Linked DNA regions of Ovis aries. The protein of the gene in region 1 interacts with the protein of each later gene in a biochemical or structural test. Links are inferred from orthologs where the notes say so. Each region holds a gene or a part of one and is shown on either strand. Other genes may lie near its edges. The genes, in order: CARD11 and PRKCQ.

Region 1 (3,812 bases):
GATTTGAGGATGTGGTCGAGATTTAAAACTTGCTCTCTCTTAGGACTGTTTTTATGTTTTCCTGATTATAGAGGAATGGCGAGAAAGCATCTCAGAACTTAAAAGAACTTTTCTCTTTGGTTGAAAGAATATCTGGCCTGCTGAGTCCTAGGCCATTTCTCAGGCCACAGGGGTGCAGCTGGGGTCCCCTCCTGGCTAAAGCCACCACCCTCTACCTGCTGGATTTCTAGAGGTGTTCTCCCCAAAAGCCTAGAACTGAGAAAGGACACTCGCCCCTTGGAGATCTCTTCCTTGTTGCATGTAAAAGCAGTCTTCTTACTAGGTGTTCGGCCAACGATGATCCCTTTGGGGAAGCAAACAAACACAGTCACAGGGGTTTAAGTCTTCTCCTGGCCCCAGTTCCTGACACGCACTTCTTGAGGGTGAAGCTCAGCACATCGCCAGTTGTCAAAGTCCCAAGAATAGTAACTGCCTCCTCCAGGAAGGCTGTCTTTCTTACACTAAGTCTGGGCAGGTCCTTTAGGCCAAACATCCTGCCAACCTGCAGTCCAATGAGTCTCAAGCTGTTCTTTTACAGTGGTGCCATTTTTTCAAATAAAATCTTGGATGAAACCCACGAGGCCAAATCACATGCAGGCAGAGCTGTGCTGGGGCGTGAAGTCAAGATAGAGCCCGAATTCCCCTCCCCTCCATCTCTGCCCCCTTCTGAAACACTAGGGTTCTTCAGGAATCTTGTCTTTTGAGGATCAGAGTTAGAAACCTATCAGAAAAGACCTTTAAAATGGAAAGGGTGCCTCAGGGAAACACCAGCTTGGGAACCTCTCATCCTAACCTGTAACCTGTTCCACCTGCATGAAGATTGCCCGAGGAGGTTTTCTGAGGACCAAAGCTGCCCAAGCACTGTTCTGAACTAACAGACCAGGACCTCTTCCTCAGCAAGGAGGGAGTGGTCGTTTCACTGAAGGAGAACCTTTCAGATCTTCTGGCCACCAGCTGGAGGAGGAGAGAGGGGCAGAACACGGCTCCTGCCAGAAGTCCAGCAAGCTGTGGGGAGGCAGTCCCTTCTCTGAATGTTCCCCTGCAACCTCGCTCTCCCCTTGGCCCCCCGGGGATGTTTCAGATAGACCAGCTAAAGCATCGGCTGAACAAGATGGAGGAGGAATGCAAGCTGGAGAGGAACCAGTCGCTGAAACTGAAGAACGACATTGAGAACCGGCCCAAGAAGGAGCAGGTCCTGGAGCTGGAGCGGGAGAACGAGATGCTGAAGACCAAGATCCAGGAGCTGCAGTCCATCATCCAGGTGAGGGCGGGGGCCGCACGCCTGCCAGGGCGCCCCTTGCCGGCCGCGGGACCACAGGGAGCTCACGTCATCATCCTTGGGCACCTTGGTTCCTCCTCTGTCGGCAGGGGTGACCGCACCACCCACTTCTCAGACATCACGTGAGGTAACGCTTGTGACGTTGTTTCCTTGGTTGAACCATTTCACGAAAATCAGTGTACTGGGCACTATGAGGAAAGTACTTCGGGGAAAAGCTTCTTGCCTTAAAGATTCCAAGAAACTCAGCTCTCAGCTGTGAGGGATTTGTTAAAGCTTCGAGGGCCTCCCCTTCTTTATCATCACAGAGTCATCTGTGGGTACAGAGGCAAAACATCCGCAGATCCATGTGCAGGGGAGGAAGGAGGGCACCCGCGCCCTCCCCCAGAAAGAATGGTGCCCCCCAGGATCATTGCCGCCTGGTGTGGAAGGCCCTGGTTCAGAGCAGAGACTGGGTCCCGGTTTAATCAGAGCAGATTAATTGATGTTTCAGGGGAGGCATCTGCAAGGCAGCTCAGCCCCGTCTTTGTTGTCACCTGTGAAATGTGCGGAGAAGCTGCACAGCTGCCTCTCTGGGCTCTGATAAGAGCCAGGGCAGAACAGTAGGCATCGGGATGTTTCTGAGCAGAAGTGGGTTTTATGCTTCTTTCCAGGTGATAAAATTCATAAGTAATAAGCCGCTTAAGGGCCCCAAGAGACAGCGACTCTTGCCCCTGCTTCTCTGGCACAAAGCCTTCCGCTCACTGCATGTCTGTCGCTGGCGCTTCTGTCTGCCGCCTTCCTGGGCCTCCTTGCTCCCTGCCCCGCACCCCCAGCCCCGTTAAACTTTTCCCCACACACACACCACCCCCCCACCCGCCCAGGCTGGGAAGCGCAGCCTGCCAGACTCCGACAAGGCCATCCTGGACATCCTGGAGCACGACCGCAAGGAGGCCCTGGAGGACCGGCAGGAGCTCGTCAACAAGATCTACAACCTGCAGGAGGAGGTCCGCCAGGCGGAGGAGCTGAGGGACAAGGTGGGCCTCGGACGGCCGGGGCTGCCGCCCGGCGGGGGCCCGGGGCTAGGTGTCCGGGGCTGTCTGTGGAGCCTCTGGGCCCCCACTCTCTCCCAGGACCAAGTCTGCGTCCTGGTGTGAGTCCCTGTGTGTCAGCACCCTGCCGTCACTGGTGGACCGTTCTAAGTGTCCGCGTGGCACTGGCCTTGCCCCCTGGCTGACCGCTGCGGCCACGGGAGGGCACACTCAGTGTCCACCCTGACCCCACTCCCCCCGCACATAGTAGGCCTGCCTCAGGTCGCAGCTGGTGGCTGGCCTTTTACCACAGTCCCTTCGCGTCAGAGCGCTGACTCTCAGAAGGCCAGGCGCCATGGGGAGGGGCAGGCCGGCCCTGGGAAGCCGCGGCTGGCAGCCAGCTGTCGGGCCTGGTTGGTCGCTGGCTTGATGCGAGCATTCTCTCTCCTGTGCTCGCAGTACCTGGAGGAGAAGGAGGACCTGGAGCTGAAGTGCTCCACGCTGGGGAAGGACTGTGAGATGTTCAAGCACCGCATGAACACTGTCATGCTGCAGCTCGAGGAGGTGGAGCGGGAGCGGGACCAGGTACCCGGCGGCTGGCCCAGGCTCCAGGCCATGGGGGCGGCGGGGTGTTGTCGGGGTAACGCCGTCAGCTCTGCGGGAACCACCTAGGACCCCACCTTCCTGCTTTCCTTCCAAAAATGAATCCCGTCCCGGCTGTGTCACTGGTGTTTAAAAAGCAGGGCTGGGGCCTGAATGGGACGCCAGTGTCCTGGGCCTCGAAGCCGGATGGCCAGGTCCAGGCCCTGTCCCTCTTCAGACGTGTGGCTGCACGCTGCCCCTGCCTGGAAGCCTCAGTGCTCCCGTCTGTGGAGTGGGAATAGAACAGCCGCACCACCTCGTAGGGTAGCGGGTGGGCTCTGCCTTGGACCTCTTAGCCCAGCAGTGGGCGCACAGCTGGGGTGAACTCACGAGGGGCTGTAACACGTGCAGAGGACGGTAGCAGTGGAAACGCCCAAGCGTCAGATTCAGGGAGAGGGCCGGAGACGCTGTGGCTGACACGTGGGCTGGGGAGGGCAGGCGTCCTGGGTCTGATTTTGGGGGGATCGGGGGGGCGGGGTGGGGAAGAACCCAGCGACCTTGTCCTCCGCCTCCCGGGCAGGCCTTCCACTCCCGGGACGAAGCGCAGACCCAGTACTCCCAGTGCCTGATCGAAAAGGACAAGTACCGGAAGCAGATCCGGGAGCTGGAGGAGAAGAATGACGAGATGCGCATCGAGCTGGTGCGGCGGGAGGCCTGCATCGTCAACCTGGAGAGCAAGCTGCGGCGCCTCTCCAAGGACAGCGGCACCCTCGAGCAGGTGGGCTGGGGGCGGGCCCCCCTGCGCGCCCCCCCCCCCGCGCGCCCCCCACCCCCGCAGAGCACAGCCGTCCCGACCACCGAGCGCCCGCCCGAGCCCGTGAACCCTTGGGTGTCTGTATTGTGAT
Region 2 (3,812 bases), on another chromosome or scaffold:
CTTTCTGAGTATCTGAGAACATTTGCAGCTAATAAATTCTCAACCTTAAGACTGATTCTGTTCACATTCACTATTAGATAGGAAGGAGCTCAAGTCATTAGAGGAAGACAGTCGATGGAAATCCACCAAAAGTCTACCCGACCTCTGGATACCCTGGTTAAGCCAGAGGTTGTGCATTAACAAATCCTGCAAGAACCCAAAGGACTGAAGACCCCAAAAGAGTGGGGGAGGCTGAAACAAGAGATAGGAGTCATTCTGAGTCTCCAGTCTACCGTAGCCTTCGCTGCTGTGGTTACTGAGGCTTGAACCAATCTCTGTTCGGGGGCTGTTTAAGACACCCAAGAGCCTTGTAAACACAGAAACCCATCAGCTCCAATGGGTAAGTGTTGCCTTCTGCAGACATTTAGTTAGCACAGTTGGGTTGTCGAGCTGGTGGCAGTTTTGACTATGAAACTCTGCTTACAATAAAGATCTCTCCCTCTTCTGTCCCTCCCCACTCACCCCTAGAAGCTTCCCATGTAATTGGAAACCAGAGTTTCCTTGAAATCTTTCTTAAGGGAGCTGGATTCCTCATGCTATAGGAGCTCTATTATGAAAATATTCTCTAGAATCACATCATTTGAGCCTTCTCAATCCAGGTGAGGCCACTGGAAATTCTCAGGTAGTACCTATTCCCGTACACTCCCGCAAGGTGGAACATGCCAGGCCTGGTGGATTAAGAAGATGCATCATGGGACTTCCCCGGTGGTTCAGGGTTTAAGAATCTGCCATGCAATGCAGGGGACAGGCGTTCAGTCCTTGCTCAGGGGTCTAAGATCCCACAGGCCTCAGAACAACTAAGCCTGTGCTCTGAAACCTGTGTGCCATAACTAAGACCCAACACAGCCAAATAAATAAACAAACAAAAGAAGTGACACAAGGCATAACCTGAAGCTTGGCGTCACACGCGAGTTACCATACCAGACAAATTCATGGCAGACGGAGCAAAACGTGGGCTGTGGGAAGAAGGTGGCCGTGAACTCATGGCACTTGACGTGGTGGACTTTGGCCTGCTTGATGGCTCCTCGGCGGTGATGTAGAGCAAAGAAGCCATCGGTCTCGAATTCGTTCATGTCCTTTGTGTCTGCAGGAAGAGGGCAGGGACGGTGACCTTCTGCGAAATGGCTGTCACAGCTGGGGGTGAGCAGCGCAGGGGTGGGAAACGGGGAAGGGGCAGAGATGGATGAGGACCTAGACAAGCTTTGAGACCATTAGCATCCCAAGTACTGGGTTGGGCTAAACGCCTATTTGGGTTTTTTCTAAAAGATGTTATGGACATTTTGGCCAACCCAGTATTTCTGAAGTTTGGTACAGTACGAAGTGTCTTTCCTTAGTCCCATAACAGAATTATCAGATGGTGTCCTGTTCCAGGATTGGAACAACAAGGCTGGAATCTTGGCTCAATCCTTCCATCCTCTTTCACGACACTGAGCTATATCCTCTCTCAATTTTTAAAACCAGAAATTGGAACATTTAAGGTATTTATTGACCTTTCCTTGTCACTGTCAGTGATGAGTCAGCCAGAAAAGGCAGGAAGTGGCAAATACTTTGCCTGTAATTCTAAAGAATAATGTGGTACTGAACAGTAAGTTGGAAACTATATATATATATTTTTTAGGTCCCAGAAAATTTTATATCTGGTTGTTTATAGACAAAAAATGTAGACAGGCAGGAGCTGGCCAGATTTCTGAAGGCAAAAAAGCTTTGGGAAGTTGTTTATGCTTTGGTTCCTGAAGCCAATGGGAATCAGATGCACCAGCCATAAAACTATACAGGTCAATGTGGAAAGGGCCGGAAAGGAACGGATGACTGTAATTAAAAAGTGTCTAGATAATCCTGGCTGGTACCTAGTCATCTACATCAAATCACGTTCACATTTCTTCAGTTTACCATGGGCTCTGGGTGCTGGTGAAGGTACTCTGAGTAGTAACTGTCCACAGTACCCACAGCTTCCAAAAGGCTGGAAGAAGTCTGAGAAATACCGGTGAGAATATTCGCCCTGGCCGAAGCCCAGGTCCCCCAGCCAAAACACACAATAGCAAGGTAGTTATGATTGACCAGTACGATGGGCCCTCCAGCGTGCATGGGAGAGTGCATGGTAAAGGAGGCGGAACACAGCTGCCGTCATCACTAAAATACGGATAACGAATTGATGATTCAGTTCCTGCAACTGCGATTCCAAGTAGATTCTTGGATTACTTAGTCTACTTATTTTTTAAATTACAAAAAATGAAGGTTTGGCAAGGATAAGGGGCTCCTGTTTCACAAATGAAGAGAGTTAACAATATTTAAACCCAATTGTTTCCCTTCCGGGTAAGCCATGGCAGTGGCTGGACAACACACTCGAGGCAAGTGATCCTGCCGGAGTATCTTAATTTCCCCACCCCTTTTCAGGGCCAAGCTGGAAGCACACTGGGTAGACAGGGCCGGGGGAGGGTCACGGAGGTGGAGACCCTCCTCCACCGTCCAGCCTAGTGCCAGCACCCATTTCAAGACTGAAGTCTTCTCTCCAAGAGTCCATGGGTCTGTTTTATGGAAACCCCAAACTCTCAGATAAAACGTCACTCTGCTGTACACCTGAAACTAACACAGGATTGTAACTCAACTCTACTCCAAGGAAGATAATAATCAAGCATCCCTAAGAAAGACTTCCTTACACGGCTGAGGACTTTGCCTGATACTTAAAGGATAGGCGATTTAGGTCTTTTTTTTTTTTAAAGGAACTGTGCTGGAAATAAAAAGGCTTGGTGAATTCGGGGTTAGATTTAGGGTCACCGAGGCAACTGCCTTCTCCTATAGGCTCTGGTTTAAGTGTAGAGATCTATTTACAACTCGGGACCGGCACAGGAGGCCATTTGTCGGGAAGCTCTGATTCATTTCTATTTTGGTGCTGATGAAATAAAAGGAAATAAAGCATAAAATTACTTTCGAACTCAGGGAGGGAGGTGAATTATTCTGGGAACTCTATCCATAATACTGTGAAAAATATACAAATATAACCATGTAACAATTACATGGTGGTGGTTTAGTTGCTAAGTTGTGTCTGACTCTCCTGACCCCAAGGACTACAGACCACCAGGCTCCTCTGTTCGTGGGATTCTCCAGGCAAGAATACTGGCATGGGTTGCCATTTCCTTCTCTAGGAGATCTTCCCGATCCAGGAATCGAACCTAAGCAGATTCTTTACTGACTGAATAGTCAGTAAAGCTATTATAATAGTCCGGACTATATACAACTATATGTTTATAAATATAAAATAGTCTGTGTATTAGAACACTGTACATTTAAAAATATGTCAGAGACTGCAGGTAAGTAATTCATTCCCTTGCTCCTTGCTATAATTCCTTTATCCTCTGATCATTTCAATCCTTATAAGAAAGTAAATGTATAAAAGCTCAGAATTTTAAAAATTCTCCTTGTAATTACTGTTTATTTCTGAAGTAATTTGGCCTTCCGTTTGTACATTGGCTTGAATAAGCTCACTGATCTTTATATAGTTGGTTATTTATTTTATAGCAATGGTGCCTAATCTATTTGTTTAACCAATCACTTGCTTTTAGTCAATTAAGTCACACACTTCCTGGAGAGCTATGAGTGAACTGCTATGCAGGACAGTATAAAGAATTATGAGATGTCACCCCTAATTTTGAATGGGTAAGTCAGGGAGAAATGGCACTCACATGAAGAACAGACTAGGAGATAAAAACTCCCATATTTTTGGGAGGGAGGAAATGAAATTACAAAAGAGGCCATAAAGAGGCAGCTGAAAAATT

The links.
Region 2: of the proteins of CARD11 (region 1) and PRKCQ, one has a biochemical effect on the other in vitro, tested with the Homo sapiens proteins (2 studies listed by BioGRID). The link is inferred for Ovis aries from reciprocal best matches to the Homo sapiens genes CARD11 and PRKCQ.

The regions. Positions count from the first base shown.
Region 1 is NC_056077.1:40,873,286-40,877,097, forward strand, and holds part of CARD11 (caspase recruitment domain-containing protein 11), read left to right. Parts: intron 1-1,120; coding exon 1,121-1,300; intron 1,301-2,178; coding exon 2,179-2,331; intron 2,332-2,784; coding exon 2,785-2,910; intron 2,911-3,487; coding exon 3,488-3,685; intron 3,686-3,812. UniProt on the Homo sapiens protein: Adapter protein that plays a key role in adaptive immune response by transducing the activation of NF-kappa-B downstream of T-cell receptor (TCR) and B-cell receptor (BCR) engagement.
Region 2 is NC_056066.1:11,293,426-11,297,237, forward strand, and holds part of PRKCQ (protein kinase C theta type), read right to left. Parts: intron 1,124-3,812; coding exon 961-1,123; intron 1-960. UniProt on the Homo sapiens protein: Calcium-independent, phospholipid- and diacylglycerol (DAG)-dependent serine/threonine-protein kinase that mediates non-redundant functions in T-cell receptor (TCR) signaling, including T-cells activation, proliferation, differentiation and survival, by mediating activation of multiple transcription factors such as NF-kappa-B, JUN, NFATC1 and NFATC2.